Linked DNA regions of Coturnix japonica. The protein of the gene in region 1 interacts with the protein of each later gene in a biochemical or structural test. Links are inferred from orthologs where the notes say so. Each region holds a gene or a part of one and is shown in the gene's direction. Other genes may lie near its edges.

Region 1 (4,266 bases):
ATTCTACAGTGCAAGTGTTTGTTCTGAAATGAGTTTGGACAGGACTTTGCCAAGTTTCTCCACTGAATTCTTGTGCAAAAGATGTTTCCATTTTCCTGTGCTTACCTCATTTTTTAACTGTCATGCCAAATCCTTACTTTCTTGTAGATTATCAAAATACTAATTCATCTCGATGTGCCTAGAGGTATCTGTTCTTATTTAGCATTTACCTGTAGAACTGATTTGAGGTTAATTTCCTTGGTGTCTTTATTGCTCTTCCTCTCTCATAATGCAAGCTGCAACCATTAGTGTACATTGAAATTACTTTGCAAATCTCCCCTCTCTAAAAGCTGATTTTTTCCTGGGCTTCTCATTTTTTAAAACCTTCATATTTGTCAAAATAAATGAAAATGTGTTATATGCACATAATGTTTTTGTGGTTGCACTGTGTAAACAGCATTGAAGCAAACTGAATTAAATGGATATTTTGTTGCAGGATCAGATTCTGCCTCTGTTAAAGGAACAGAAACAATCAGAGGAGCAGTGCTGTATGGATGTTACTTATTTCTGAGTTTACTTTGACGTATTTATTGTGTATTATTTACAGTGTATAAGGAAAAGAGCATACCAGTTACAGCATCCAAAGGCTCATCTTAAAAATAAACAATTAGAGGCACGATATGGTATGTGTTGGAGCATCTAACTTGTGCTAATGTAAGTAAATGGTGTTTCACTTTTCTTTGCCTAATTAGCACAGTAACTTGTTAAACTATCAGGGAAAAAAATGTGCAGAGGAATCTGATGGGTAGTATAAAATCAGTGAATCAATATAAATCAATATAAATAACTATCAAAGAATCTCTCAGAAGGCATGAATCACTGATGTAAGGCAGAATACACCCAGCAGCTGTTTTACTGTCTACGTAATGTATCTATGATATCCCCATGTGTTGCTATCAGCACATGGGGATAGGCATAGGCATTTAGTGTGTTACCTCCCAAGCCCCTTTCATTGTGAGATTCAGTTCTGGAGTTCCCAATAAATCATAGTAGTTCATATCCTATTGACTTTGTGGCCAAAATGACCACACGGGAATGGGGCTGTTCACGGGCTCTGTTGATGCCGAGGCAGCAGAAACGAGGGTTGTATATAATGGGACGGGATGGGTTTCTGCTGCAGAGCGTCCCACGGGAGGGACATGGATGGGGAGCTGAAGGCCACAGGGCTTTTCACAAGCGGCGACGCAAACGCCTGCTTATGCCTTCGGCAGCTACCGAGCAAACAAACAGCGGGAAGCGGACAACGGGATACCCTCAACACTCGCATAAACCTAGCGGGGGAATAGGCCAAGCTGTTCCCTCCCCCACAGCTGCTTCCTTCTGTCCTGGGACAGGTAGAGGCGGTTCCATTCCTACCTGGGCGGGGAAGGCGCCGCTGGTTCCTCCTCCCCCCGCTTCTTGCTCCCGCCCCATCCTCCTCCCCCTCGGCGTCCCCAGAGGGAGCCCCTGCGCTCCGTGGCCGGTCGGAGAGCGCAGCTGGGCAGAGTAGTCCCTTGGCCGGCCCCATCCGTTCCGCAGCCCCTGCGACAGAAGGAGAGGAGGGAGTAGGAAAGGAGAGGAGGAGGAAGAAGGCAGCAGTCCTTCTGCAGCTGGGTAGGAACGTGTGCGTGCAACCCTCGACGGCTGCCCTCCAGCATGTTGCTCGGAGGCAGAGTGGCAGCCAGGAGCTGAGCGGAGTAGAACGCAGAGCAGAGTAGCGCAAAGTGAGGAGCAGCTCGTCGGGGAGCTCCGTTTGCCCGTCGCGTTCGATGCACACCATGGGCGTTCTCAACCCCCTGTCCGCCGCCAAGCCCCGCGGGGCCGCTCTCCTGGTGCTGCTGCTGCTGGGGCGCGTCGCACTCTGTTCCGCCGTGGAGGAGAAGAAAGGTAACGGGTGGTACGGGTGCTGGGGCTACAGGGTGTGCCCCTTGGTACTGCGGGGAGAGTCGGAGGGAAAGTCTTGGCTTCGTCCCTTAGAAGAAAGGGGGGAAAAAGTAAAAAATAAAAAACTACTGAGAGAAAGATGGAAAAACAGACCTACAGAGCAGTCGCGCAGCTCATGACTTCCTGATTCTAAGCTTATTTTCTTTTGTGGGGGCGGAGGAAATAAAAGGGAATAAACCTTTGAGAGTCTCATCGCTTGTGCTTGTCCCCTCCCGAGGCTTTTATTTTCTGCTCTCTCCTCCACTCCGCCCCCGTGCTCTTTCCGCGGCGCCCCGAGCGCCCTCACTGCCCGGGTTCACCCCATGGTGGCCGCCGGCCCAGTACCGCTCTGCTACCGACACCGGGGAGGTGGCACCGAGCACGGCAGGGACACGCAGGGCAGCCTCAGCCGTCCCGCCGCCTCGGGCCGGGCACCTCAGCTCATTCCGCTTCAAAAAGATGAATGCATGCATATACGTGTGCACACACCTGAGAAGGGTGTGTCGGGGAGGACGGGAAACTTCATGCGGATTCTGGTTCTCCGGTCGTGCTCGCTCTCTCTCTCTTTCTCTCTGCCCGGCCCGATGCCTCCGCTGTCACCCTCGCTGAGAGCGCCCGGCAGCCGTGCGTGGGAACGGCGCGGGACGGCCCGCGAGGCTGTCTGGTTGGCTTCTGGAGCTTTGTTTTTTATACGTTTTTGAAAAACTGGTTTAAGGAGTGAGAGAACGTTTTTGTTGGGAGAGTTCCGTCGCTTTTTCTCCATGTGTGGTGATCATTTCTGTGAATAGGCCCCGAGTGCTGTTCCAGGCAGAGTACAGTTCTCTTTATCTTGGAGATCTGCCAGCAAGGGAAAAAATGCAGATCTGTTGTTGTGTTTTCTTTCTACAGAAAAAGAGGGAAAAAAGAATTAGTAGTGTTTTGAAGAGCTGGCTTGCAGCTGAAAACAGCTGAACCTATGTTTTTGTAACTGAGAACAGTAAAACTGTCCTGAAAGGGAGCAGCAGCTGCCTGTTCTGAGGAACTAGTTACACAACCTCAAAGCATTGAAGAGGCTCCCTTGTTCCAGAAATCAAGTTCATACCTGTTGCTGATGTAACGTAGGCAGCTCTTCTTTCCTGGGTTTCTGATCTTTTTCTTTTCTTGTCTCCCCTCATCCACTGAAAGTGACGGGGAGCAGAGCTGACTCCGTCTGCTGCATTTAAGTCCTTTGAAATGGAACACCCTGATGCACATGCCCAGCAGAATCTGTAAAATGTGAGGGTATATATGTTGTTGCCTTCTTTAAAGTGCTTAATCTGGTGTCTCATAAAATTATGAAGGTGCTGTTTATTTGAGGATTGTTAAATAAAAAACAGCTACATGATAAACCCAATGGGCATCATTGTCAGCATTGTGTTAGTGAGTAACCATTCCTGTGAGGAGGACCGGGGACAGAAGAGGGAAGGCAGAATAACTTCTTCAAGAAGCATGAATCAATTATTTGAGCTTTATCTGTTTTTCTCCGCATTTGAAGATGAGAGAGGAAATAAAGGTGGGTACAGAATAAAGTGGCATTTGGGAATCATAAAATAATGAGTGAAGACCCACTTCCTTGGGACCCCATGGCATCTGAATTTATAACAGTTCTGAAAGCAAATATGCTGCCATAAACATTGCAACACTCATGTTTTATGATAAAATTCTGTTGCTTCTAGAAGTACAAATAGTAAATGCATTTATGCTTCTTAATATTTTAGTTTGTATTATCCCCCCCAAATTACCTTGGCAAATCTTTTTTGTTACAAGAATGTCAGAATCAAACTATAATGGGCAATGTAATAGTTGAATGGAAATTAAAATTCACCTGTATATTTTACCAGAAGTTTAGAACAATCTTTTCAAATTTGGATGAGACGAAACTTTTTTATTTGAATGACTGCAGTCATGAAAATGAAAAACAAACCAAACAAACCCAGTAGCTGTGCTTAATGCAGCACCAAACAGCATTGTTAGAAATTGAACTGTCACAGGGATCAATACCTCCCTCTCTCTCAATCCACCATCTTTAATGTTGATCCAGATTAACAGCAGAGGAAGTAATCTGGATTTACACTGATAGTTGCTGGATGGCCTGTTAGGTGCCTTTGACAGCAGGCATGCCACTTCCTGCAGCATGCATTTGACTGATGTCCATTTTGTTTCTCATTGCTTAGTGACATTGCATTTAGTCAAACCATTTCTTGTTGCTTTTTTGGCTCTATATATCTAGTTTTGATCTGTAGTTGCAGCCATTGTGGAATGGAGTAAAGGACTGTGCACTCTAACCCACTGGGCAGTGTACTGGCT
Region 2 (3,660 bases), on another chromosome or scaffold:
GCCACCTCCAGACATACGAGTAAACAAGAAAGAGGTGCTGATTACCAAATCCTCCATTAACTTTACTTTTAACTGCAGCTGGTTTAGTGATACTAATGGAGCTGTGAAGTACTTTACTGTGGTTGTCAGAGAGGCTGATGGTAAGTATCATTTAATACCGTTCTCTCTATAGCCTGTATGATTTACATGCAGATGTACACCCCTATCACTACACAGCAAAGTAACTTCTTATATAGTTGCTGACTTTCACTGAAAGTTTATGGCTCCTTAGCCTGGAATTTTAAGCATTCAGTCCTCCTCTCAGAAGGTAAGTAGCATCTGCAGATCCTAGCCAGAAGCGGTAGTTAGTTAGGTTCTGTGCTCTAGGAGATGCTCTCATGTAAGATCAGAAAGTTTCCACAGCAGAAGACTTACGTTGGTTGACAGATGCCATTGATGGAGGACATAGAATAGCCTGCCTTGCTCTGCACAGATCTCAAAAAGTAGTTCAGTTGTAAGGGGGAACACTAAGACAGCTTTTGGAAAACCCCAGTAAGCCATGCAGAGAAGGAAAAAGTAACATGATTCAGGTAGAGTTTGCTTACTGAAGAATATGACTTTACATGCAGAACAGAGCAGAAATTGTCCTTGCAGTATGTACGTAAGCCTCCTTTTCTGTAGTTGACCTATATGTGGCAATGCAGATTGATGTCTTGACAGTTAATACAGGCTTTAGAAGCAGCTTCATGTGTCAGTATGCTGGTATTTTATGATTCTTGATAAAGTTTCTTAAGATCTCTGTCTGTTCTATGATTCTGTGATCAGCCCTCAGGTTAAAAAAAAAAAAAAAGAAAAAAAGAGGAAATATTTCCACTGTCTACTTGGTTGTGCTTGAGCAGTTTATAGAGCTCTCATAGAAAGGGACTGACTACTCATTGCCAGTCTTTGGCCTACTTAAGTTTTATGCATGCTATTGCTAGTTCTCTTTCAGCAGACTTCTGTCATTTCCTATGTATTTTTTCTCTGCATACAGTAGACCACTCTTGTCAATTTGTGGGATATTTTTTAACTTGCCTTCCCTCCAGGAAAGCCTCAGAAGTTGGATAATAAGGATTTGGTCCATCAACACCCTGAATTTCTAATACTGCATTGTGTTAATGGCTGTGATATGTAAACCTTCTGTCTTTCTCTGCACATGATGTAGGCAGTGAAGGACCAAAACCCGACGAGCAACACCCATTACCTTCTTACCTGGAGTACAAACACAATGACTCCATACGCATCTACCAGACCAATTATTTTGCTAGTAGATGTGCTGAAAACCCTGACAGCGACTATAAAAGCTTTGACATTAAGCTTGGAGGAGAAATGGAAAATCTGGGAGGAAAGTGTGATCCAGATCAGCAAAAATTCTGCGATGGACCCTTGAAGCCTCGGACTGCTTATAGGTGAGATTAATGTTGGTAATTGTGCTCTGTCACATTATTAGGCACAGTGCTGAGTGTCTGACACACTTGAGCTTCTGAAGATAAATAACTGGGCCGTATAATGTTCCTTGTGTTTCATGGCATAATTTATAAAAGCTTTATCCATGCTCCATTCCATGGATAGAAACGATATTTTCATTAGCATGGGAATGATACCAATAGTTACATATAGTGTGTTTGTTTATCTCCTTTTGGTCAAGACCTTTCCTATAGTTAGTAAATCCCTCTTTAGAAACACTAAGTCATCTAAGTCAGAAGATTACATAACAAGAGAAGGCAAGAACGCTGCATAGAATTTATTTGTCACTATGTACTCACACAAGTCCTTTGGGACAAAGTAGAAAATTGCGCAGGTTGTTGTAATCCATGGCACAGTCCAGAGGCTCCAGAGCTAAGACTGGGTGAGCTGTAGGATATAGAAGAGCACTACTGCCAAGACCAAGCAGTTGGACAGGCTATGAAAACAAATGTGAACTCCAGTGCATCTCAGTCTCACCCTTCTTTCAGGCAAACACTCTGCCAAAAGATCTGCATGATGCTTACCAGACAGTGACATGTACAGAAGGCACATGCCAGGCAGTCTGTTGTCAATGGAAAGTCTTTAATCATCTCTAAGAGACGGGTCATTTCTTATCTGAATCTCTTATTTTTCCACAGTTGACTCTGAACATCTGATAAACTTAACTAGTAACTGTAAACTGAACTGGGTATTTTTTTTTTAGGATCAGTATACGGGCTTTTACCCAGCTCTTCAGTGAAGACCCAAAGGAACTTCCTCAACCACTCTTTGCAGACACCTTCTTCTCTTTACCAATCACTACGGAGGCAGGTTAGTTTCAAGCTTGCTTTTCAGTCATTGTAGCAAGTGATTATACATTGCAACTCAAAACGCTCTGGTATCCAGAACTGCTTGCAAGGATTTGTCATGCAGTGTCCTGAAGTCTGCTTTGAAATAATGCGGAAGCCATGGCTTATCCATGGCCCTTATTTGCCATGGATAGGCCATGAAATTGAAAATTAAAAGGTCTGCTTGGTAGAGCTGCTGACAGCAGAGAAAAAGGTGAATGCTCAGTGATGCTGTTGTCAAGAAAGCTTTGACATACCAGAAAGCTGAATTCCTACATGATGGAGCTGTGCTTTCTTTTGCTGTGGTTGGGAATGAAAAGTTTTGCATAACATTTAGAAAAAATTAGGACAGAAAACCAAGGCCTAGTTTAGTTGTTCAGACACTTTGAATTTCCTTTAATTTAACCATTTCCTCTAGCTAATAGTAGTAACATATTCTCTGGGCACTGGTGATTTTTTGATTCTTCATGTCTTTTCTTCAAAATGTGTAAAAACACTGTTTTGTTTCTAGAGCCTCTCTTTGGAGTTATTGAAGGTGTGAGTGCTGGTTTGTTTCTCATTGTGATGGTAGTGGCTGTTACTGCTTTGTTTGTCTGCAGACAGAAAGTTAGGTAAGTAGAGTCCTTTTATCAGCCTCTGTTATGAGATCAGGTTAAACTATTTTGATATAAGAAATGCAGTGAAAGAATATCTGTACACACTAACTATAAAATGAATGACTTAATAAATATTGAGAGCTGAATATATTCTTTATAGGAGATTGAAATATCCACTGATGTTAGCAAGAATCATCTCATAAAGGATCCCTGCAACTTCTTGTTTTCAGTAGGAGTCTGAATGTTTCTGAAAAAAATGGCTTAATATGCAAACTCAGTATCTTGTGTAAAAAAAATGAAATATTTCTAACCATTTTATATGGGAAGTTCTTGGAACTGTTCGTTTAGACTTTGTTATTTCAGTTCAAAAACGTCATGGAATTTTAGCATGACACTACTTCTGTGTCCATAATATCAGTTCAAGCTTTTCAGTTTCCTGTTGATTATTGTTGTGTATTTCACTTCAGAGATGAATTTTAAATAGCAAATTTTGAATACATTTTTAAAAAGCAAAATATTGTCTCAACTTTGAAAAATGCTTTATCTGTTGAAACCATTTTGCATGATTGAAAGAGATGCAACGTTACTGGTAGGAAATAGGATGCTGTAAGGTGAAATAATACAAAAGATGGCAATAATACAAGAAGGATGGTGATAGATATCCAAAAGGTTATGTACAGGAAAAACTCACCAATATGGATGCCTTCAGTCTGGGTGGAAAATGCTGAGGCTGGTTATACAATCTCCACAGA
Region 3 (4,329 bases), on another chromosome or scaffold:
AAACTTCCCTTCAGATTCACTATGGCAGCACAGTGCCCAGCCTGGGGGCTCTGAGAGGGGCAGTGTGGGGTGGCCCAGTGGTGCGGCTGTTTGGCCCTTTCAAATGTGTGCCAGTGCCTTACCCTGTGGAAAAACACTCCTTAGCTGCCATATCCATGTGACAGGAGCTGATGTTCCCTGTGTGCTGGAGTACAGATACTGAGCCCCCTGATGCTATAAAAGCACGATCATTTCCAACTTCCTTTCGCGCTGGCTGTAGTTCTGTGCTGCTGAAACCTGTTCGTAGGGAGGGGAATTCTGCAGGGATGGAGCTTGCAGCTATTTTGGGCTCAGCTGAGCTTTGCCTTTGCTTCCCTCCTGCAGCAGGGCTGGAGCCAGGCTGTGGCTGCTGCCTTTAGAGCACTATGGGACACAGAGAAGCACACACTGCAGGGGCTGCCTGCAGCTTCCCACACCCAGCTGTAAGCAGTGCTGGGCTCCTTTCTGCCTGCAGCCATGCGTGTCAAGGGGGATGTGTGCAGTGTGAGCTCGGTGCACGTCTGCATGAATTAACACCGCTGCTGCTATTTATGTGGGGTGGGGGGAATCCTCCATTTGCTCCATATGTTCCGAGGGAGGCACAGAGCTCTACTGTGCAGGCCCAGCTCAGAAGTAGCGCTGAGCTGCTGCCTTCAAGCCCCGTGAGAGGGTGCGGGGCAGCTCCCACACGGGGCAGCACCGTGGGAGGGGGTCAGAAAGCAGCAGGCACCTGGAGGCCCTCAGTACTGCGGGCAGCCAGACCAAGCATGAGCAGCACCCACGGCTTCGTGTGGGCCTCACACAAAGCAGAGGCCCGTTTTCTGCAGGCTCGGTTGTGCCGGTGCTTAAAGGCGCTTTGTTCTTGGGGCGGCTGGAGGTTGGATTCCCAGCATCTTCAGCAGAAATCTTGTTTGTAGCCCCGAGAAAAGACTTTTTAATAGACAAAGGCATTTTTCTTTTGCCCTCCACCCCCTCCCTGGCTAATGTTCCTCGGACAATGCCGCTCTTTGCTGGTTCTGTTCTCATGCTTGTATGTGTGTCCTACTGCTGGAAAAGCACGGCCCTCGCTGCAAACCCCTCGCACGCCGCAGTCAGCAGCTGGAGCCCCGAGAGCTGTGCGGTGCAGCGCCCGGGATACGGCTCCGGGGCTATTGGTATCATTCTCTATTCCTTCCAAACGTGCCCAGAAGGGGCGGCCTTCCAACCCCATCACCGGCCTCGGGGCAGCCCCGTCCGGAGGCTCTCGGCCATCAGGTCAGAGCTGCAGGTGCAGCGCCGCTCCGCCACGAGCCCCGCGGCTGCGAACAGCGCAGGGAGCAGCGCAACGCCTCCCTCCGAGCCGTGCACCGCCTCCGTTCGGTACAACGACGCCTCCGTTCCACGCGCCGCGTGAGACGCGGGATCCCGGCGCGCGCTCCCGCCCCGCGCTCCCCCCATTGACTCGCGCGCTGATGGCGCGTGTTTCGGCGGCGGGCTGTGATTGGCTGCCGGGATCACCCCGGGTGCCGCCGGGCCGCGGCCACCCGCCGAGCGCCATTCACGGCTCTGGCCGCCTGCACGCGCACAGCCTCATTCATAAAAAAAATAACTAACTTCATTCATAAAAGCGGCGGCGGCGGCGCCCCGGGCTCGGCGTGGCGGGAGCGGCTCGGGCGGTGCTGACCCGCACGACGAGGGTGGTACGAATGTACCGGGCACCGCACGGACCGCGGAACGGAGCTGAGGGATTCCGGAGCGAGAATTGGCAGCCCCGAGGCTGAGAGCTGCTGCGGGACGGGAGGGCTCGGCTTAACGCGTGTGCGGGCACGAGCGGTGCGGAGCGGGGCTGAGCTGCCGCTGCTTCCCCGTGGGGGCAGCTGAGGATGAAGGCGCCGAGAGCCGCGCACCTGGAGGGAATCGGGATGATCTGGAGGTGCGGCTGAGCGCGGGGCTCGGCTGCTGGGCTCTGCACTGCTGTGTGTGCTCTGCTCTGCTGTGTGTGCTCTGCTCTGCTGTATGTGCTCTGCTCTGCTCTGCTGTGTGTGCTCTGCTGTGCTGGGCTCTGCACGGATCGCTCTCGGTCTGTCGCTGCGGCCAGGAGCGCGGTGCTGACATCCCGGCTGTGAGCGGCCGGTGCGCGGCCCCGAGGGCTGGGGGGGGACACGGTCTCGGGTGGCATTTCTGGGCGTGGGCTGCTGCCGCCCGTGGGTCTGCACGGGGGACGCCGGCCGGCCGTGGGCTGGAAGCCTCCCGCACCGAGGAAAATACGCTGCTCGGGAGGGAATCGGCAGAAATCTCTGTCAGGTTTCTGTTTTTAACGGTGTTTGACTTGCCTGCTTTCCGTCTGATTTATCCACAAAGGCGATTTGTGCCCGAGGCTCCGGTTACCGAACTGCAAGGGCTATGAGAGAGCGCGGCCCGCAGAGCCTCGGTGCACACGTCCTGTACGTGGGGCTGCTCCGACACCCGGGGATGCTGCACAGGGCCAAGTACAGCCGCTTCAGGAACGACTCCGTAACGTCTCTGGACGAAGGGCCGCAAAACATCAAAGGTTCCTCCTCTTCCTCCCACCCTTCAGCTCCCAGCCTGCTGGCCGAGGACGTCCCGCTGGGCCCGCAGGACACCTGCACCACGCTGTGCGCGCTGATCCCGCGCATGGCCAACATTAAACTCGCCAACCCCTCCGCTCTGCCCAGCCTGAAGAGCTTCTGCCTGGGGAGCAAGGAGGTGCCGAGGACCAAACTGACTGAGTGCGTCACCGTCCCTGGCGGTCCCTCCTCACCTGAGCTCGGCTGCCTTTCGGCCTCGTACCCTCAACCCGGCCCAGAAGGAGCACACCTGACTCCAAGGCCCACGGGTGGCTGCACAGGGAGAGGAGCAGCGGAGGTGGTGGGCAGGCTGGGAGGGAGCCTCGTGCCCGGCGGGGAGAGCGCGGAGGAGTCGGGCACAGCCTACAGTGTGCGGGTGAGTAGTGAGCGTGGGGAGCGGGTACCGGCACAGGGGGCTGCAGCCTGTACTGCCACCTCTGCAGCCCCTGGTCACCGACTTACCCTGTGTATCTGCTGTTTAATGACGGATGTAGGGCTGTGTTGGGGGCCCGAGGGAGTTAAAAGGAGCACAGCTATCCTCAGAGGTAGACAACATCAATTGCCACAGAGTCTGTCCTTAGGCTCTTGGAAGAGCACAGCTGAGCTGCACTGCAAATGAGGTCACTCTGAAATGTGTGTTGGAGTGGAAGGACTATGGCAAGGTCCCATTCCTCCTAGCAGCTCTGGTGCCAGGCAGGTGCTGGCTCACACTGTGACGTCTCTCAGTGCTGGGCCCAGCACTGGCCTTGCAGCCCCTTCTGCATAGTGCAGGGTGCTGAGGCTGCCTTCCACTTGTGCTGCTGGGCTGCACCCACTGCTCTGGGCACAGAGAGCACTGTCTGTACCTCCAGAAGACACCCAACCACAGCTTCTCTGGGTGTTTCTCACACTGTGTTGTCACTGTTGGTGCTGGCTGAGGGGTCCGTGCTGCTGGGTGGGTCCCTGGGCTCAGGGCTTTGTTTTTTCCACCCAAATCGTGCTCAGGAGATTTCTTGTTTTCCATTTTTCCTCTCTGGATGTTTTACTTTTGTGCCCAGACCTTGCCAGTTGGAAAGCCAATGGCAATTGCTTCCTTGTCCGTGTGCTGAACCTCTGACCGTGCACATCAGAGGGGAGAAGAACAAAATGGGGCCGTGGCTGTGCCCACCCTTCCCAAGCAGGTTGGCTACTGTGGGTGAGGTCTTTGGCTGTGGGAGCTGTGGGATGGGCATGGAAGTCAGAGTGCAATCATCTGCATTTGTCTTGTAAAAGGCAGCAGTAGGAGGGAGCTGGTACTAGGTGGGTTTCTCTGAGCTACCCTCGTGCCTGTGCTCTTTTGCTTGTCTTCCTGCAAGGCCCAGTGCTGATGTGGGCCCTTGTTACTTTGGCATCAGTGGTGGCTGACCGGGGTGATGGGGATGCAGGTGGTACATAGCATGACAGCACAGTGCCTGCAGGGGCTCCTAGTGCTGGTGTGCGGTGTGCTGGTGTTGTGGTGTCATGGTGCGTGGCCTGTGGCACCTGCCTGTTGTATGGTGCAAGTCACAGCCAAGGCTCTGAGGTCCCTGCAGGGATGTGGACGCCCCCTGATAGGGGAATTTCCCAGGTCCTGTATGGGCCCATGGGCAGAAGCAGCCAAGTGTTACCTGCTGGGAGCCACGCTGACCAGAAAGGAGAAGCAAAACCAAGGCCCAGCGTTACGGGAAGGTCCAGAGAAGTGGTGAAGGGGCTGCCCCCTTCTGCTGCTCCCCAGGTTGATGTTCCA
Region 4 (3,660 bases), on another chromosome or scaffold:
TCTGTGCCTCCATAACATCATGATGGAACCAGACTCAGAACTCTTGCTCAGGTTTTCCTTGCTCTTCAAAGTCTTTCTGCAAAAGACCTCTAAAAGTGACCCGTTTTAGACTAGAGATGCTTGTCAAAATGAGAGCTTCAATAAGATTTCTCCATGAAGCTGAACTGTATCTGCTGGTAGATAACACAAAGGACATTGCCACCTACTGGCAAATGAAAACCTGCAGCTCCTCAAAAAGTGTGGAGCTGATAGAACTCATTTACAGCAGCACATATTGATTTCCAGACTGCACTGCCCTTGGTAAGCTGTACTGCACAGGGACAGCAGGCAGCAAAGGAAGGGGTCCTTGTCCCCCAGGAATGCAGAGTTGGAAGGCACCCATGAAGCTGATGTCAGATCCTCCATACGAACATGGTGGCTTCACTCTTATAGGATTATTAAGGTTGAAAAGACCTCTAAGACTGCGCCCAATCTCAACCCACCCCACCATTCCCATGTCCCTCAGTGCCACATCTCCATGACTCCTGAACACCTCCAGGGATGGTGACTTCTCCACTTCCCTAAGCCATGCCTCACTTCTCTCTCTCTTCCAGGGAGATGCCCTTGAACAGGCCATTATAAGCCAGGCCCCACAGGTGGAGAAACTCATTGCCACCACAGCCCATGAGAGGATGCCCTGGTACCATGGTAACATTGCCCGGGATGAAGCTGAGCGGAGGCTTTACTCTGGGGCACAACCTGATGGGAAATTCCTGTGAGTACACAAACCCTGGTAGATGCTGTCAAACCCATCCTACCCACCATTTCCCCTCTTTCCAGTGCCCTCTGGTTATTTGTTTCACATGAGTAAAAAAACCTCGAGTTGCTTTTAATAGTTCTTCTTCCCACCAGGCTGAGAGATAAAAAGGAAAACGGCACTTACGCTCTGTCCCTTGTCTATGGCAAAACAGTTTATCACTATCGGATCGACCAGGACAAGTCTGGCAAGTACTCCATCCCTGAGGGGACCAAGTTCGACACGCTCTGGCAGGTACCGTGCTGGGGGATGATGAGCACTGCTGTCCTAGCAAAGAAAAGGCTAGGACCTTTGCTTTGCTCCCTTGCTATATCTGCCTATGCCTTGGGGATAAGGAAAGGCCATCTGGAGCCTTAAAGACACCAAGAGCTTGGAAGGTCTTTAACATCTTGCACACAGAGACTCGGGAGGCCCATAAGTCTTGAGCCAACTCCCAAAACCTTGACGTGACCGCAGATCCAAGTGCCAGGAGACGCATCCTGTCACCCCCCGGGGGCTGTTTGCAGACAGGAGATGGCTGTGATACCCCACCCATGAGGAGGGAGCTGGGTTTTAGGGGATGTGACAAGTGCCTGAAGCCCAGGTACCACCAACCCTTATCCTGGAATAACACAGCCCAGTGAATCACAGAATAACCTGTGTTGGAAGGGGCTCTTAAAAGATGATTGAGTCCAACTCCTGGGGCTGCTCCAGGAAAGGAATGCACCACTTCTTCCTGGGGAGGGCTGTTTGCAGACTGTAACTGTTTTGCTGGATTTTTTAAATTCCCAGGGCTGTTTTCACTCTGAAACTGAAAGAAAACAAAGACTTCGGGGCATTTTTTTTTTCTTTTTTTTTTTAATGGAAACAGAACTGTGCCAGGTTCCTTATTTGGAATGAAATCTGAGCCATGCAGGAGGAGAAGAGAAAGTCTGGCCCCCTGTGCTGTGGTTGCCAGGGTTGAGGTGGTGGTCTCCAGCTAAAGTGAGACCCCCACTATGTTGGAAGCAGAGGGTGCTGCACTGGAAAAGTACCTGGGATCCAGAAAGTGAATTCTGCAGTTCTTCTGGGAAAAGCCAAAGGTTCCCTTCAGACTTTATCAGACTTACAGTCCCTTCCGGCTGTGGCAACAATTACATTACACAGAGCCTACCCTGCCCTGCTACTAAAGGTTTTCCCTTTGTCTTTCTTTGGGGCTTATCTAACTTCCCAAACTCTTCCCAGCTCTGGCACACACCCAGATACAAATGCTGTAGGAGTTCCCTGAGTGCACAGATAGAAAGAGGGGAAAGAAACAACTGAATCCCTGAGAAAAGCTGAGAGAAATCATTATGATAAACCATGCGTGTTGCCTGCGAAAGAAGAGATGGTTTTCTGTTTGCATTGATCTCTTTCTCCCCTGATTCCTTTATCAGCTGGTGGAATATTTGAAGCTCAAACCGGATGGGTTGATTTTCTACCTGAGGGAAAGCTGCCCCAACCCCAGCATGCCAGGTGAGCTGGTGCCAGTGCCAACCTTGGCCTCGGTCACTTGTCCCAGGTATCACAAGCATCACTTCATGTCCTGTCTGTGGGACTCCTGAGGTCTCCCAAGGGCTGGGAACAGTGCCCATATCCATGCATGTTTCCAAATCCATTCTGGTTAAAGCGGTAGAAAGGGACTTCTGTGTGGGAGGGATTGGATCCTCAAAGGACTGATGCTCTGTTCCTGCATGGGGTGTAAGCAGACTTTCACTAACAACTCCTCTCTTCCAATCCACAGCCTCTGCAGCACCAGCTCCACCAACCCACCCCTCTGTGAGCGTAAGTTGTGGGGAGAGTCTGTTTTGTTGGTACCTCGTTTAGTGGCATTTTGAAAGGATCAGACTGTGCTCTTCTTTAAAAGGCAACAACTCAACTGGAATATATTAAGGCCAGCTGCAATGCTGTCTCCTTTCCAGCTTGGATAGGGACAAGGAATAGCTGGCCATAGCTACCATCAGTGTCAAGAATGGTTTCCATTCACGCTGTGCTCCTTGCAACACATGGGGCTGACCTTGGGGACCCCCCCCCCCTGCCCTCCTCGCTGGTTGGGTTCTGGGAATGCTCAGCCCTACTGCTGGCTGCTGGCCATGGGCCACATCTTTGTGCTCCCTCTGCATCCCCAGCCCCAGGGAACGTCTGTGCTCAGTGTCCAGCTGTGCTGAAACCAGTAAGTTTGGGCTGTGTGAGAGCCCAGCAGAGCCTAAATAAAGGGCTGAGCGTTTACCCAGCTTGTCAAAAAGTTTTCACAATCTGTGGTGGGCTCCTGCAATGACTACTGCAAGCATTACTGGAGCTCAGAGCTGTGCTGGACGAGTTGTACCATATAGCAGTAACAACTCTAAGGCTGCAGAGCTGCACAGGGTCCATGCCAGCCAGGACCAGACCAGCTCAATGCTAAGTCAGTCCTTGTGCCCAGCACTGCATCTTACAGTGGAAACCAGCTCTGCTGGACTACAGAGGTTCCCTGTCCCTCACCTCTCCCATTTCCCCTGGCTGCTTTACCCACTTTATCAATGTTTCTTTTCCAGAAAAACCTTGGGCCTCTCAATGCAGATGGATACACACCGGAGCCTGTAGGTGAGCATCTCTTAATGTCCTTAAGCTGAAGGAGTTGCCATTTGTATTGCTTTCTGGTCAAAAAGCCCTGCTGCAAAGCCTCTTTTCTACAAGGGCACCAGCAAAGTCACGTTCCATTCCCTATCCTCTGCCTACTAAATTCTTGGTATCTTCAGTTTGAATACTGATTCAGCTTGAATACTGGATCCTGCAGGAGAATTGGCCAGGAGGGAGGAGAAAATACAAACAAAGGAGAGAGGGGCAGGGAACAGTACATCATTTACAATTAAACAACTCTATCTCTC
Region 5 (4,347 bases), on another chromosome or scaffold:
GCAGGCTCTTGCTCCATGCACGGGAACACGGGTTCACTGGGAAGGGCTGATCCTGCCCAGTGCTCCCAGCAGAACTGCCCCATCTACAGGGACATGCTGCCATAATTCCCATCCGAGGAGCAGCCGCACCACTGTGCCACCACCTGCCTGGTGCCCCCTGAGCCCCCCCAGCCCCGATGTCCCTGGGAGCCCCATAGTAGCGCTCCATAGCAGCACTGAGATTTGCTGTGCCCCTTCATTGCTCCCCCAGGAGCCACTGACCAGGGGGCCAACAGCAAACCCCTGTGCTGCCTTATGGGTTCTGTGCACGGTGCTGGTTCTGGCAGCAGCCCACCCCCACCGGCAGCTCCCAGAGCCGCCCCTTCCCCCCGTCTCGGTGCTGGGTGCTGCTCCTGGTGCACGGCATCCCTGTGCCACTGTACCCCGTCACCACCTCTGCCCCACAAGTGCCTTCATCTCTCTCCCAGCAGCCCCCAGAGCTTTAAGCTCCATTAATTTAATACTTCCCATCTCGCTTTTATATTTTTCGCTCGTTTATTTTGTATTTTAAACGTTCTGGTGCTGAACTTGGAATAAAACTCGGTCCGCTCTTTTGACGGCCGCCTCTGCCCGGAGCAAATCGGGACGGACACAAGTGCCATGAAAGACCATCTGGGGGGGGGTCGGTCGGGTCGGGACCCCCAGGCCGGGCGGTGGGTGCTGGGCGGCCGCTGGTGCAGCCACGGCGCTGCTTTGTGCCTGGCGGCCGTCGAGCTGTTGGCAGCACGAGGCTCCGCCGGGACTTGGCTGCGGTGACTGAAACCGAGAGGCTGAATCACGGCGTGAGCCGCGGGCGAGGGAAGGGACGGGATGGGGCGGGACGGGACGGGATGGGACGGGATGGGGTGGGATATTATGGGATGGGATGGGATGGGATGGGATACAATTGGATGTAATGGGATGGGGACAGAATAGGATATAGAATGGGATGGGGAGGGGTGGGATGGGATGGGATATTATGGGATATTATGGGATATTATGGGATGGGGTGGGATGGGCGCTGCCGCTCCCCGCCCTGCTCCAGCTGCGTGTCTCCCCCGCTCCGACCCGCAGTGCCGCCCCCCGCCCCCCCTCCATTTACCCCCCTCCATTTTCCCCCCCTCCATTTTCCCCCCGTTGTCCCGACCCGGTTCGGTCCCGTTCGAACCCTCCCGGCTCCGCCCCGTGACGTCACCCAGGTGGGCCCTCGGTGCGCTCACGCCCTTCCCCACCCGCCCTCGCCCCGCCCCCGCCCCGCCCCGCCGCCCAATCAGCTCCCGGCGCGCGGGGGGCGGTCTCCTCCCCGCCAATGGCGAGCGGATAAACACGGGGAGGGGGCGGGGCCCGGTCAGCAGCGGCGAAGACGGACGGGAAGAAGAACCAATGGCAAGCGGGCAGCGCTGTGAGGGGCGGGGCCAGGCGGGGCGGGGCGCCGTTCGCCTTTTGTTCGTGCGGGAGCGGGGCGGGCGGCAGAGCTGCGGGAACCGGGAGAGGTGAGAGACGGGGGGGGCGGGCGGGGGGCGAGGGGGGGGGGCCTGGGCTGGGGGGTCCCGGCATCGAGGGGCTCCGGGCTCCGCGCGGTGTCGGGCTGTTACCGCCCCCCCCCCCCGGGGCAGCGCCGCGCCCGGCTGCGCTCATCCCGTCCGACCGGTCCCGAGCAGCCCCGGGGCTGCGCTCACCGCCGGGCTCGGTTCGGTTCGGCCCAACCGGCCCCGTGCGGTTCCGGTGCTGCCGCTGGGCGCTGCCCCGGGTGGTTGTTCCGGCGGAGCCGCTCACCTGCCCCGAGCAGCCCCGGGGAGCGGGACGGGCTGCGGGAGGGGAACGGGGACGGGGGGGTTAATGAAGCGGCTCCTGTTCATCCCGCCGCGCTGACACCGAACGTCGGGGCAGCGGAACTGAGCGGGGAGCGACCGGCTCGTATCGTCGTCACGTTCTCGTTGCGTTCGCTGGGTGATTAGTTTAATTAATCGGCGCAGATTAAAGCACGACGCGGGGCCGCTGCTGGGAGTTGCCCGCGGAGGAAGGCGTGGGTTGTGCGCGGGGGGACGCGGTGGGAGCGTGGGCGGCTCCCGGGGCGCAGCCCGGGCCGGGACGGAGCCGTGCTGACCTCAGCGCTGTCCCCGCGTCCTGCCGTGCCCTCCCCGGTGCTGGTATCCCCGGGCCCCCCCTGTCCCCGCTCCGGGGCTGTCCCTGCTCCGTCCCTTCTCTGTCCCTGCTCCGTCCCCTTCCCACCCGCAGTTTGGTCCGTCGGTGGGGGGCGCGGATCCCCTCCCGTGTCCTTGTGGGCGTGCGGCGGGGCAGTGTGCGGAGCGGAGCAGCCATTAAGGTCCTTCCACCTCCGAAGGCCGTAATTGTTCACCGCTTTGGAGGATTTCCACAAAGTGGTTTGAAAAACCCATTTGGCAGCGAACTCGGCTTTAACAGGTGGGCACAGGACGCGCCTGCGCAAAGCCCGGGTGGCGGTGGCCGGGGGTCGTTTTATCCCCGGTTCTGGTGCCGCTCGCTGGGCGATGAGGAGCTGCTGGGGGGGGCTGAGCTGCAGCTGCCCGACTCCGGCGGTGGGGAAGCGCTGGCGGAAGCGTGGGGGGGGCTGCAGGCCGCCCCAACCCCCCCCGCCCCCACAAACAATGGCTCCCATTCCATTGTCTGGTGCTGCAGCCACTCCCCTGGGGACAGCGGGGATGCCGGCATGAAGCACCTCGTGCCCCGTCCACATGTGGGTCCCCGTGGGCTGTGCCGTTGGCACCACTGCCCGTGGTTTGTTCACACCTGGAGACCACGGAGCGTTTCGCCTCTGAGCTGTACATGAAGGTCGGGTGCTGCCCTCCTCCTCCTGGGAATCCTTCCTTGTTCCCCCATCAGACCCCCAGCCGGTTGGGGGGTGCAGTTGGCAGCCCGCAGGGAGGAGCTGCGCTGTGGGGCTGCAGTACAGGGTCTGCATGGGGAGCTCACAGGGCTCTAATTGAGGTGTCTGTACCACAGCTCATGCTGCTCCTGAAATTTGAAATTAGGCTGGCTTCTAATTAGCAGGAGTTAAAAAGAAGTTTCATTTCTATTGAAGCACTGCAAGTCTGCCTTGGACTTCTTGTGGCACAGTTGCCAGCTCTGACTCTTGTTTTAGGTGGTGTTTTCCCACCTCGGTGCTTTAGGGCTGTGCCTGGGATAGGCAGCAAATGGGGTCTGGGTGGCAGCTGTGGGTCCCAGTTGGTCTCCTGGGACCTGGGGTGTCCCCCACGGGGCTGTGCCCTGCTGGCAGCGCCTGGCTCGCAGTCAGCCCTGGAGGATGCAGCACTTGAGCTGATGCAGCATTTCCAGCTCCACCAGGGTTGGGTTTACCCCGTTTCCCAGGGACAGGGTTGGGTGTTTGGGGATGGAGCAGGCACGCTGTCTGTGCATGGGAGAGGCTGCCAAAGAAGTCTTAAAACTTGACCTAAGCAGCTTAAAAACACATCTGTGCTTACAGTGCTGCTGGCCAGAGCTGAGCTGCAGAGTGCTCCAAAGCTGCATCCTGTGCTGCCAGCTCAAGGACGGCCCAGCACAGCCCTGGATGCCACGCTTGGCGTGTTGCTGCCTGCTCTGCTCAGTGCTCCCGAGGCCCACATGCTGCAGGGGTGGTGCAGTGCACCCAAAGCTTTGGGGTCCAGTGGTGGGGGGGGCAATGCTGTGTGTGCTTCATCACCCCCTCCTCCCCCCGCTCCCCTCCATGCTACATCAGTCCTTCAGTGCATCCTGGGGTTTGTCCTTACTGTGTGCTCACTCTGTGCTGGCTTTGGGCTCAGGAGCCTCCTGGGCCAGTGCATCCTCCTGCCTCCATGGGGTGAGAGCTGTCTATGCTCCCCCCTTGTGTGCAGTGCACTGTGCTTTGTAAGGGTGGTGAGGGGAATACAGGAGGAGTGAGGGGCAAGATGTTTCTAATTAGACAGGCTTGAGATATCTCTCCAAATCTGCCATCCCCGATTGGTTTTTCTGCAGCTGCTGACAGGCCTGGAGGCATTTCATAATGCTTGAATTGCTCGGATCTAAAATCCCTCCATGCAAAGGGCAGGAGCCTTGTGCTGGAGCGGAGCTCCTGGTGGCTCGGGGCGCTGAGCTGTGCTGGGGCTGCCATGGGATGCTCAGTGCTCTCTGAATATCCCACACCTGCTGACCTGACCCATTCCCCCAGTGCTGCGGAGATGCACAGGGGGGGTCGTGCAGCACTGCAGCTAAGGCTGCAATCGGCCTCGTGGCATCATCGCCATGCATTGGGCAGGGGTCTGTTGGGGGCATTGCTGGGGGGGGGCAGGTGCTGGCACTGAGCTCCTCCAGCACAGTGCGGAGCCCTGGCAC
Region 6 (4,446 bases), about 15 Mb from region 1:
AGGGTGGTTGGACTATATGACCTTTAAAGGTCCCTTCCAGCTCAAATGATTCTATAGTTCTATGATTATATTATTTCTGATGCTACTGGAAAACAATGTTACTTCCCAAAAGTTAAACACAGTTGGGTTGAAAGAAGTGAAGCAAACAATTGTTTCTAAACTTATAATTATTACTTGAAAAAGATGCTATAAAAAAAAAAAAGAAATAAAGAAAGAAAGAATGAAAGAAAGAAAAGAAAACCTTTGGGATGCAGAGGCTTGTTTTCATTTGCTTTTAACCAGCCATTTGAAAACATTGAAACATGACCAATACCTCAAAAATGTTTTCCTGACCACAACTCCTTGCATGCAGACAAACACAAGGATGATGCCAGTTCCTGGAAGAAGGAACGTCATTAGCTTTTTTTAAAACTTGAGCACATGTCTGTCTGTATTGTTTTTCTCTCTTCTGACCTCCCTGATTTTGAAGGATCCTCCTTCCTCCCTCTCTTCCTCTCTCCCTCCCCTTTTCTTTCTTTTTTTATTCAACCTCTTTCTCGCTTTCTTTCTCTCTCTTTCTCTCTCTCTCTTTCTTTCCCTGTTTCTTTCTGAAATTAGCCCAGCTAAAACAACATCTAACACATACACACACACACAAAGCCCTAAACTCCCGAATTCCAAGAATTACAAAATCTGTGTCAAAGGAAAGAGACAGATAACCATTAGGATACGTGGGACACAGAAATGGGTCTAAAAAATGATTTTTTTTGCAAAAGATAGCCCTGAATCATTACACTGTATGTAAATTTCAGTCCCTCGGCAGTAGACAAATCTGATTGAAAGTCATAGGGGCAGCATTTAACCCAGGCCTAGAATTGAAAGAAAGGGTGCAGCTGGATGGTATAGAGATTTGGAACTTCCTACCTCCTGTCCATGCATCCTACATTGCTGAAACACACCACTCACCCCCTCATGGAGTTCACATCCGCTGCCTAGTCTCAATAAGCATTCAGCAAGCATCAGTGTATGTCCATAGGTCCAACTGTTTCCTCATGGAGGAATTCAGTTTCACCTCTTTGCATTTCCATGTCAGATGACATCATCCCATACTGTTGGGAAAGTTCAGCCTCTACTGCTGTACCACCAACATCTGCTTGTGATGTCAAGTGCCAAAATAATAAAATAGGAGGCATTACTTTTGGAGCAGCCATTCTAGATAGAATGTTAGAAAGATTCAGGAAGGCTTGCTTGAAAACCTGCTCTGTTTTTCTTCTCTTTACTAAATGCTCCTAAAAAAATTAAGGTTCATTAAACATTGAGAATCAGTGTGATGATTCTCAATGTGATGATGCCCGGGGGAGGTGGTGGGGTCACCATCCTCCAAGGCGTTCAAGAACCGTGTGGATGCGGCACTGAGGGACATGGTCAGTGGGCACAGTGGGGGTGGGCTGATCTCAGAGGACTGATCTTGGCACCAGCTGCAAATTGTTATCCATCATTACTTTCCTGTGTGTGGGATGCAGCCCTGAAGCTGACTGAACCAAAACAGGGCTGGTTAGCACTAGGGCTGTGTAAAAGCAGAGTCGGCCTTTCCCTTCCTTTCCGTGCTCACGAACCCTCAGGCACATCCCGGTAGCGGCCCGCAGCTGAGTCGGCACAGCCCCGGGGCAGCGCCGAGGCGGGGCCGCATGTGACCGCGGCGGGGGCGGCTCGGTGCCGTGCCGCGGCGGGGCAGTGCGGAGCGGCGGCGTTGGGCGCTGGGCGATGCGGAGCGGACGGGCCCCGGGCAGATGATGGCGATACGCGAGCTGAAAGTGTGTCTGCTTGGAGTGAGTAGCGGCGGAGACGGGTCGTCTGCCGTGGGGCTTCCCTCTCCCTCGGCTGGTGGAGGGTGAAAAGGGATAGATTTGCCGCCTCCCTTCCAGCGGGCCCGTCCGGGGGCCGGCGGGCGGTGGGAGCCGAGACGGGCGGCTCGGCGGAGCGAATTCCTCCACTCAACAGCCTCTGGGGGGCGAGGGGGCTTTCCCTTTCTTTAGTTGATACTAATGTTTTTGTTAGTTTTGAACTTCTCTTGAAAAGAGGAAGCTGTTAGGGGGGGCGGGACTTGTCGCCCCCTCCCCACTGCTGGAGACCCCGGCGGGTCCCCGGATCCACCCTTGAGCCGAGCTCCGAGCCCCGTCACCGTGGGGCCGGGGCGGCTGGAGGCGGCGGCCCGACCCCACCGGGACGCTGGCGTGGTGCGAGCCCCTCAGCCCCCTGGTGCTCGGCGCATGCTGAGCTTACGGCTTGGAGTGGGTTTATTTGCAAGCGTCTTTCACTCGGCTGCTTACAGGAGTGTCTTTCTTGCAACTTTTGTCTCGTCTTTCACTTCTTTCTTTTTGTGTGTGTGTGTGCGTTTAACATTTGGAGCAGCAATGTGCTTAGCTGTGCAGTTTGACTCCGCCTGCCCCCGCTCTGCCCTGCACGGATGGAGTTGTGTTGTCCTAGCATGCTGGTGGGGTGACAAGCAGCCCCCTCCCCCTCCAACAGCGGCCAGTTGAGTGCTGTTGTTTGCTTTGGTGGTCGTGGGTTGATGGTTGACTTGCTGATCTAAGTGGTCTTTTCCAAACGGAATGATCCTGTGATCTCCAATATGTGGGATGTGAGTTAGGCAGCTTTCAGTGCCATATCTCCATAAACATTCAGAGAGCTACGTGAGGAAGAAAACTTAGAGTGAATTCTTTCATGCAAAACAACTGAGCTGAAGGTTTAGAAAACAAACTGCTGCCATCCCTCCTGCTTCCTGTGGCTTGTGTTGACCCTTAGTCTGGATGGCATGGGTACTTTACTCTGAGGCTGTGCCAGGGCATGGGGAGTTCAACCCAAAGTGTTTGGCAATGACCATGCCTCCTTTCTTGATGAGAATTCCCCCCTTCAGCTTTTAAAATGGCACGGAGACAAAATAAATGTGGTTTATACAAGCCTGTGGTAGAACATGTAGAACATCATTATTTTTTTTTATCCCCCAGTAGAAAATCCTGTAATTTTATAGAGATGAAGTGTCCTGTGAAATGACATTCCTCTTGCCCACTGCTTGTTGCTGTTTTGTAGGATTGACGTGTATTGGAGGTTTTGCAGGGCAACTGTTTACTTTTTTTAGAGCAAAAGAAAGCTATAATGCAGCTCTGTGTTCCTAGAGTAATTGCATACTCCTATAGATTCATTAAAGTGGCAGTTGAAACCCTCAGGAAGATGTAAGCATCTGTAGTTATATTTGTTTAGTAGATTATGATTAGAGGGGTGTTCCTTCCTGGGTTTTAATAGTGTATAATTCTAGAAAGCTATCTCTTCTAATCCCAAGCGTCTCATTTGCTGTGGAGGTTGATGCTCTAGTTTTCCAAAAGTAAGGAATCCTTCATATGTCAAATCCCTTCATGAGGTTCAGGCTCCCAAAAAGGGGATACTTCCTGTCTGTGTGAACAACTGCAGTCATCAGTCAGCTGATCTACTTCAAATTAGACAGTAACTTAAAATTTGTTTGTGCATTTACTGAGAGGATCCTTAACAGCTGCCTTCTCCATCAGTCCTAGGCCGTATTGTATCTGGTAGTGCCCTTGGTAATCAGTTGAGTCCAACATATCCAAGTCCTAAAATGAGGTTATATTCTCATTAGAAGTTAAGGACTAAGTTGCTTTATAAACCTGTCTTGCTCTCCATTTCTGAACAAAGCAGAGGAGGAGGGTCATTGATTCATTCTGCCCTGGTACCCTATGGTCTGCAGTCGTCAGCTGTGCAGAGAGCCTGGACTTCAGCTATTTCTGCCAGCTCAGCATTCCTGAGGGAGGGGGAGCTTGTAGCTGGCTTAATTTTGGCAAAGGCAGCATCTCCACATACCTCGAAGCCCATCTTGGCTATAGAAGGTGTGACTGAGAGGGTGAGGAGAACAGAGAAACTAGGGCTGTGCTCCATTCTGCTTACTCCTCCTGTCATGCTACAGGACCAACATTTGTCCTGGAGCCATAGCAGCAGAGATACAGAGTAAGTTGATGGCTCTTGGAGGAAGCTCTTCATTGCCTGGGTCACGCTGCAGCACAGAAGAGAAGTTGGCCTGTTGTTTTCAACAAAAATCTATCAAAACTTGGATTTTGGTGTCTGCATTTCACTCGTTCTTCCTCAGAAGTAGCTTGTGTTTTTTAAAACTCTGTGGGTGTGATAGGAGGAATTTAGAGCAGCCTGGGGTTGGACACAAGAAGGAGATAATCCTGAGGTTTACGTAAAGAAAATACTTGCAAGAGAATGATGGAGGGGAATTTTGGGGCAAATGAAGCTGTGTGTGAGTCATTTGGAAGGCTGGCTTTGTTGGTTGTGGAGCTTAGTTATTCCCATGGATCTGGGAAAGCAGTGCACTTTGGGGTGAGGTGGTTTCTGTCTGCTCCTGCGCTGGTAGGAACAGGATGCCATTCTAATGGCTTGGTGCCTCATGGCCTC
Region 7 (3,660 bases), about 590 kb from region 1:
ATGTAAGAAGTGTTGTAGCAGTGTCAGTCTTATTCCATAAATCTGTCTTTGATGACAGATGGCTTAAGAAATTCTTGCCTCCGACTGCTCTTTTTTCAGCCAGCACTGTAGATCACCATAGATCTCCAGGACCTCTGTGAAGCAATGTTTTGAACAGTCTAATTGAATTAATTCACACTAAAAATAATGCTCTCAAATAGGAGGAAAGAGGAGTGTTTTTAACAATGATTAATTTGATGGCCTGACTTACAGTGCAAACTCAGAAACTCTGTCATCGCCATGGCTGGATTGAGGGTGAGATGAGACAGAAAGTAATGAACTGCATTCAGGAGTGAGTATTCAGGATGGGGCCGGAGTCCCTGGTTCGAACTTTATGACCAGGTCCTGCATGTTATCGAACATGTCAGTTATTGTCTTGAGTGAGTGAGTGCTTTCAGTAATGACCAGAGGATACACTGTCTAGTGACATTTATAGAAAATGATTTGCCTGTTTTATTTTTGTGTTCAATTTTTGTCTCTCTTTTTTTTTTTTTTTTTTTTTTTTTTTGACAGCCCCCTTGCGGCAGAACATTCTTGGACTGAAAACAGCCCTAAATCTTCCAAATTGTTCCAGCTTTCAATAGGAAGCAACAGGCCAACAGGAAGTTATCATGTGCCTTCTGAATTTTCAAACTCTGTGCAAGATGGTTCTCTTTTGTCTCATTTCCAAACCCCAGGGCTGCAAGCTGTCACCCTGAGCAACCTGGAGAAATCACCAGCAGAGCAACAGCATGAACCTGCTGTCAGTAACAGTGCTCAGCCTTACCGAAGCTACAATGGGGCCAATGTGGGCATTAGTTCCCCCCAAGAGGAGAAAGAAGCTACTTTTATAGCCAACACTAGCATCTCTTCTAAAACCATGAGCTCACCTGTAGAAAGTGCAGAAGATGAAGGCTTTTTGGCCCAAAATTTTCTTGCAATGACTTCTGGACATATTAGTCAGAACAATGCAGTCCATCCGTGCCTTGGAGGGAACCTACATTCTCAACCACCTCTTCCAGAGAAAAAGAGGTCCTCTGAAGGGGACCGTTCCTTCATCTCCATCTCACCTTCTTCAAGTGGTTTCTCAAGCCCCCACAGTGGAAGCACAATCAGTATCCCCTTCCCAAGTGTTCTTCCAGATTTCTCAAACACTTTAAACACTTCTCTGGTGCCAGGTAGGTTCTGCATCAGAGATATGCATAACATATCAGAATTGTATGAGTTTATCTCTCAGTAAGGAGGGATTTTAAATGAAAAGGAGCTAAAAAGCAGTGGAAGGAAAATGGAGGGCTTGATTTACAGTAAGAGGCACTGGTTCACTATTTTGTATGCACTGTTCTGAAGACTATGGTGCAGAATTGTTACTTCTGTCCTTATCTGTCAGCCCACCTTTGGAGCTGTGAAATCACAAACAAGCAGTATCTAGTCCAACCTCTCCTAATAATGGATGGTTTATTTCTTCATCTTTGCTAGACTTGTGCCAAGAGTAGTTAAAAATAATGATACGTGTATATGCTTTTACTAAGAATATAACTTTGTTATAACTTTATAAACTTAAGAGTTTTCAATATCTTACAGGTTTTGTAAAATTAAACTTTAAGAGAGCTTTTAGAATGTTAATGTAGGTTATTATACATTTTGGTTCTAAAATAATTGAGATTTTTTTCTCTGTTGTCTAATCATTAGATTTTAGAACAATTAATGTGATTGGAAGCTAGGAAGAAAAGGAAAAATACTTCCATACTTAGAAAATTTGTTGACTTCTTTTTACCCTTTTTATTTCACAGAGAACACAACAGAGAAACAAGTGACTGTAAAATTTGTCCAGGACACTTCCAAGTTTTGGTATAAACCAGTTATCTCAAGAGAACAAGGTATATCAGCTGAGGTATATTCTGGGGTATATGTTTACTAGTAAGCTAGTTGGTGTATGCTTATTAACTTTTTATTTCAGACTACTGGGTGTATAGGGTAATTATAAGAACAATTACAGAATGTATAAGGGCAGAAGACAATTTCAATTTATTTAGTCTGAAAGCTGAATTTGAGAGTGAAGGGCATTCAAGTATTCCTGAGAAAATGTTGAGTTAGTCATATAAATAATTATCCTAACTTAACTAACCACAGAGTAACTTAGAACTTCCTCTGGTAGCTGCTGCAAAAGTACTTCAATGAAAAAATAGTTTCTGTTGTTTCCTCACAGCAATGGAAGTCATTTTAAGGTCCGTGTCAGGGGATGGGCTGAACAGCTCAGTGGGGAAGAGCTGCTGTCATGATAACATGGGGCAGGGAGTCACCACAGGTGGGGCTGTGCTGGGCCACATACAGCCTGCAGGCTACAGCTTGGACATTCCTCTACAAACAAAAGTTTTATGACAATCGAGTTTGAATCAGTGCTTCATTAGATGACCCTTTTGTCTTTTTTTTTAAGTGAGGTTATGAATTTTGCTATTAGATTTTAGAGTCTGTAGCAGATGCATGACAAACCAGAGCAGTTTTCCTACAAGTTTTTCCTCCTGAGGAGGACTTCATATCTTATTTCTAGCAGAGATCACAGAATGTAAACACAAAGTATTTCAGTGCTTGGACAGTCAAAGAGCAAATACCCAGTTACATCACCTCTCTCTCTTCAAAACAAGAAAAAGAGTGAGAGAACTTTGAAGGGACAGAAATTTGATGGTGAGTGAGAACTGGTAGCCTCTGACTTAAAGCTGCATAGAAAATGAAAGCAGTGCTGCCTGTTCAGTCTGGGAATTAGGGAACTGTTCGTCTCTGTGCTTCTAGCAAGTTGATAACATGTAAATAGGGATCAGTTTGCCCTTTCTGTATAAAAGGAAACAATGTATAGTAGGAAGACTTGAGAAGAGGGCCACCTTTCCTTTGTCTGGGTTGTTTGTGAGCATGCAAGTTAGGTATAATGATAGCCAATGTGCAATCATTCTGCTGCATTTACTTTGATGGTAACTGAAATAGGAAAGAAAGAAGGGGACAAAACAATATTTAATCTTTCATCTTTTGGCACATTTCCCAATTATAAGCATTAAAAGTGGTTTTTGTGTGTTTGGATTTGATTTGATTTGATTTGATTTGGGTTTACTTCTCTCAAGGGAAGATGATAGTCTTTCATGAACTTAAGCCTAACCTTTAGTTGAAGCTTACATCGGCACTGTCAGCTTGAAGCTGTCTCTACATTGCCAGGAAGTTTGTATCAGTATCAGCTATGGTCATGAACATCAGATACTAACCTAGGTCATTGCTGCAGCAATAGTTAACTGTTTTTGCACAGTATTCTTGATAAATGAAAAAGCATGCAACAAATGAAAAGGCATGTGACAACCTCTGTCTTTATTGAGAGGTTCCAGCTACTATAGTTGTCATTCAAAGATGCAAATGTTTCCAACTACTTGCATGTAGGCACTTGACCTGAGGTACAAATCTACACTGTTGTGTGAAAATCAACAGATTATCAGTTGCAGCCTAGTGGGCAGTAGAGATTTGTTGTCTGCTCTGTGTATCAGGAGTTTACCACTAACCAGTGTTTTCTGCTGGAAATACTGTTTGCATAAGATCTGGTAGGATTTGCACATTCTTTACAGTTAAAAAATCACTGGGATCTGTATTTCAGGTTTCTTTTAAGGT

The links.
Region 2: of the proteins of EGFR (region 1) and PTPRB, one has a biochemical effect on the other in vitro, tested with the Homo sapiens proteins (2 studies listed by BioGRID and IntAct). The link is inferred for Coturnix japonica from reciprocal best matches to the Homo sapiens genes EGFR and PTPRB.
Region 3: the proteins of EGFR (region 1) and SHC4 form a complex in vitro, tested with the Homo sapiens proteins (2 studies listed by BioGRID). The link is inferred for Coturnix japonica from reciprocal best matches to the Homo sapiens genes EGFR and SHC4.
Region 4: the proteins of EGFR (region 1) and tyrosine-protein kinase ZAP-70 form a complex in vitro, tested with the Homo sapiens proteins (2 studies listed by BioGRID and IntAct, with this or other methods). The link is inferred for Coturnix japonica from reciprocal best matches to the Homo sapiens genes EGFR and ZAP70.
Region 5: the proteins of EGFR (region 1) and JUP form a complex in vitro, tested with the Homo sapiens proteins (2 studies listed by BioGRID, with this or other methods). The link is inferred for Coturnix japonica from reciprocal best matches to the Homo sapiens genes EGFR and JUP.
Region 6: the proteins of EGFR (region 1) and RAB31 form a complex in vitro, tested with the Homo sapiens proteins (2 studies listed by BioGRID). The link is inferred for Coturnix japonica from reciprocal best matches to the Homo sapiens genes EGFR and RAB31.
Region 7: the proteins of EGFR (region 1) and TNS3 form a complex in vitro, tested with the Homo sapiens proteins (2 studies listed by BioGRID). The link is inferred for Coturnix japonica from reciprocal best matches to the Homo sapiens genes EGFR and TNS3.

Annotation. Positions count from the first base shown.
Region 1 is NC_029517.1:73,822,696-73,826,961, forward strand, and holds the start of EGFR (epidermal growth factor receptor), read left to right. Parts: upstream 1-1,466; 5' UTR 1,467-1,787; coding exon 1,788-1,905; intron 1,906-4,266. UniProt on the Homo sapiens protein: Receptor tyrosine kinase binding ligands of the EGF family and activating several signaling cascades to convert extracellular cues into appropriate cellular responses.
Region 2 is NC_029516.1:32,509,239-32,512,898, reverse strand, and holds part of PTPRB (receptor-type tyrosine-protein phosphatase beta), read left to right. Parts: coding exon 1-140; intron 141-1,183; coding exon 1,184-1,427; intron 1,428-2,188; coding exon 2,189-2,295; intron 2,296-2,823; coding exon 2,824-2,923; intron 2,924-3,660. UniProt on the Homo sapiens protein: Plays an important role in blood vessel remodeling and angiogenesis. Not necessary for the initial formation of blood vessels, but is essential for their maintenance and remodeling. Can induce dephosphorylation of TEK/TIE2, CDH5/VE-cadherin and KDR/VEGFR-2.
Region 3 is NC_029525.1:9,208,583-9,212,911, reverse strand, and holds the start of SHC4 (SHC-transforming protein 4), read left to right. Parts: upstream 1-1,522; 5' UTR 1,523-1,930; intron 1,931-2,358; 5' UTR 2,359-2,400; coding exon 2,401-2,961; intron 2,962-4,329. UniProt on the Homo sapiens protein: Activates both Ras-dependent and Ras-independent migratory pathways in melanomas. Contributes to the early phases of agrin-induced tyrosine phosphorylation of CHRNB1.
Region 4 is NC_029543.1:1,090,608-1,094,267, forward strand, and holds part of tyrosine-protein kinase ZAP-70, read left to right. Parts: intron 1-593; coding exon 594-754; intron 755-891; coding exon 892-1,030; intron 1,031-2,190; coding exon 2,191-2,269; intron 2,270-2,537; coding exon 2,538-2,578; intron 2,579-3,327; coding exon 3,328-3,376; intron 3,377-3,660. UniProt on the Homo sapiens protein: Tyrosine kinase that plays an essential role in regulation of the adaptive immune response. Regulates motility, adhesion and cytokine expression of mature T-cells, as well as thymocyte development.
Region 5 is NC_029542.1:4,305,424-4,309,770, reverse strand, and holds the start of JUP (junction plakoglobin), read left to right. Parts: upstream 1-1,413; 5' UTR 1,414-1,511; intron 1,512-4,347. UniProt on the Homo sapiens protein: Common junctional plaque protein. The membrane-associated plaques are architectural elements in an important strategic position to influence the arrangement and function of both the cytoskeleton and the cells within the tissue.
Region 6 is NC_029517.1:88,716,640-88,721,085, reverse strand, and holds the start of RAB31 (ras-related protein Rab-31), read left to right. Parts: upstream 1-1,603; 5' UTR 1,604-1,769; coding exon 1,770-1,808; intron 1,809-4,446. UniProt on the Homo sapiens protein: The small GTPases Rab are key regulators of intracellular membrane trafficking, from the formation of transport vesicles to their fusion with membranes.
Region 7 is NC_029517.1:73,237,007-73,240,666, forward strand, and holds part of TNS3 (tensin-3), read left to right. Parts: intron 1-552; coding exon 553-1,196; intron 1,197-1,808; coding exon 1,809-1,895; intron 1,896-3,660. UniProt on the Homo sapiens protein: May act as a protein phosphatase and/or a lipid phosphatase. Involved in the dissociation of the integrin-tensin-actin complex. EGF activates TNS4 and down-regulates TNS3 which results in capping the tail of ITGB1.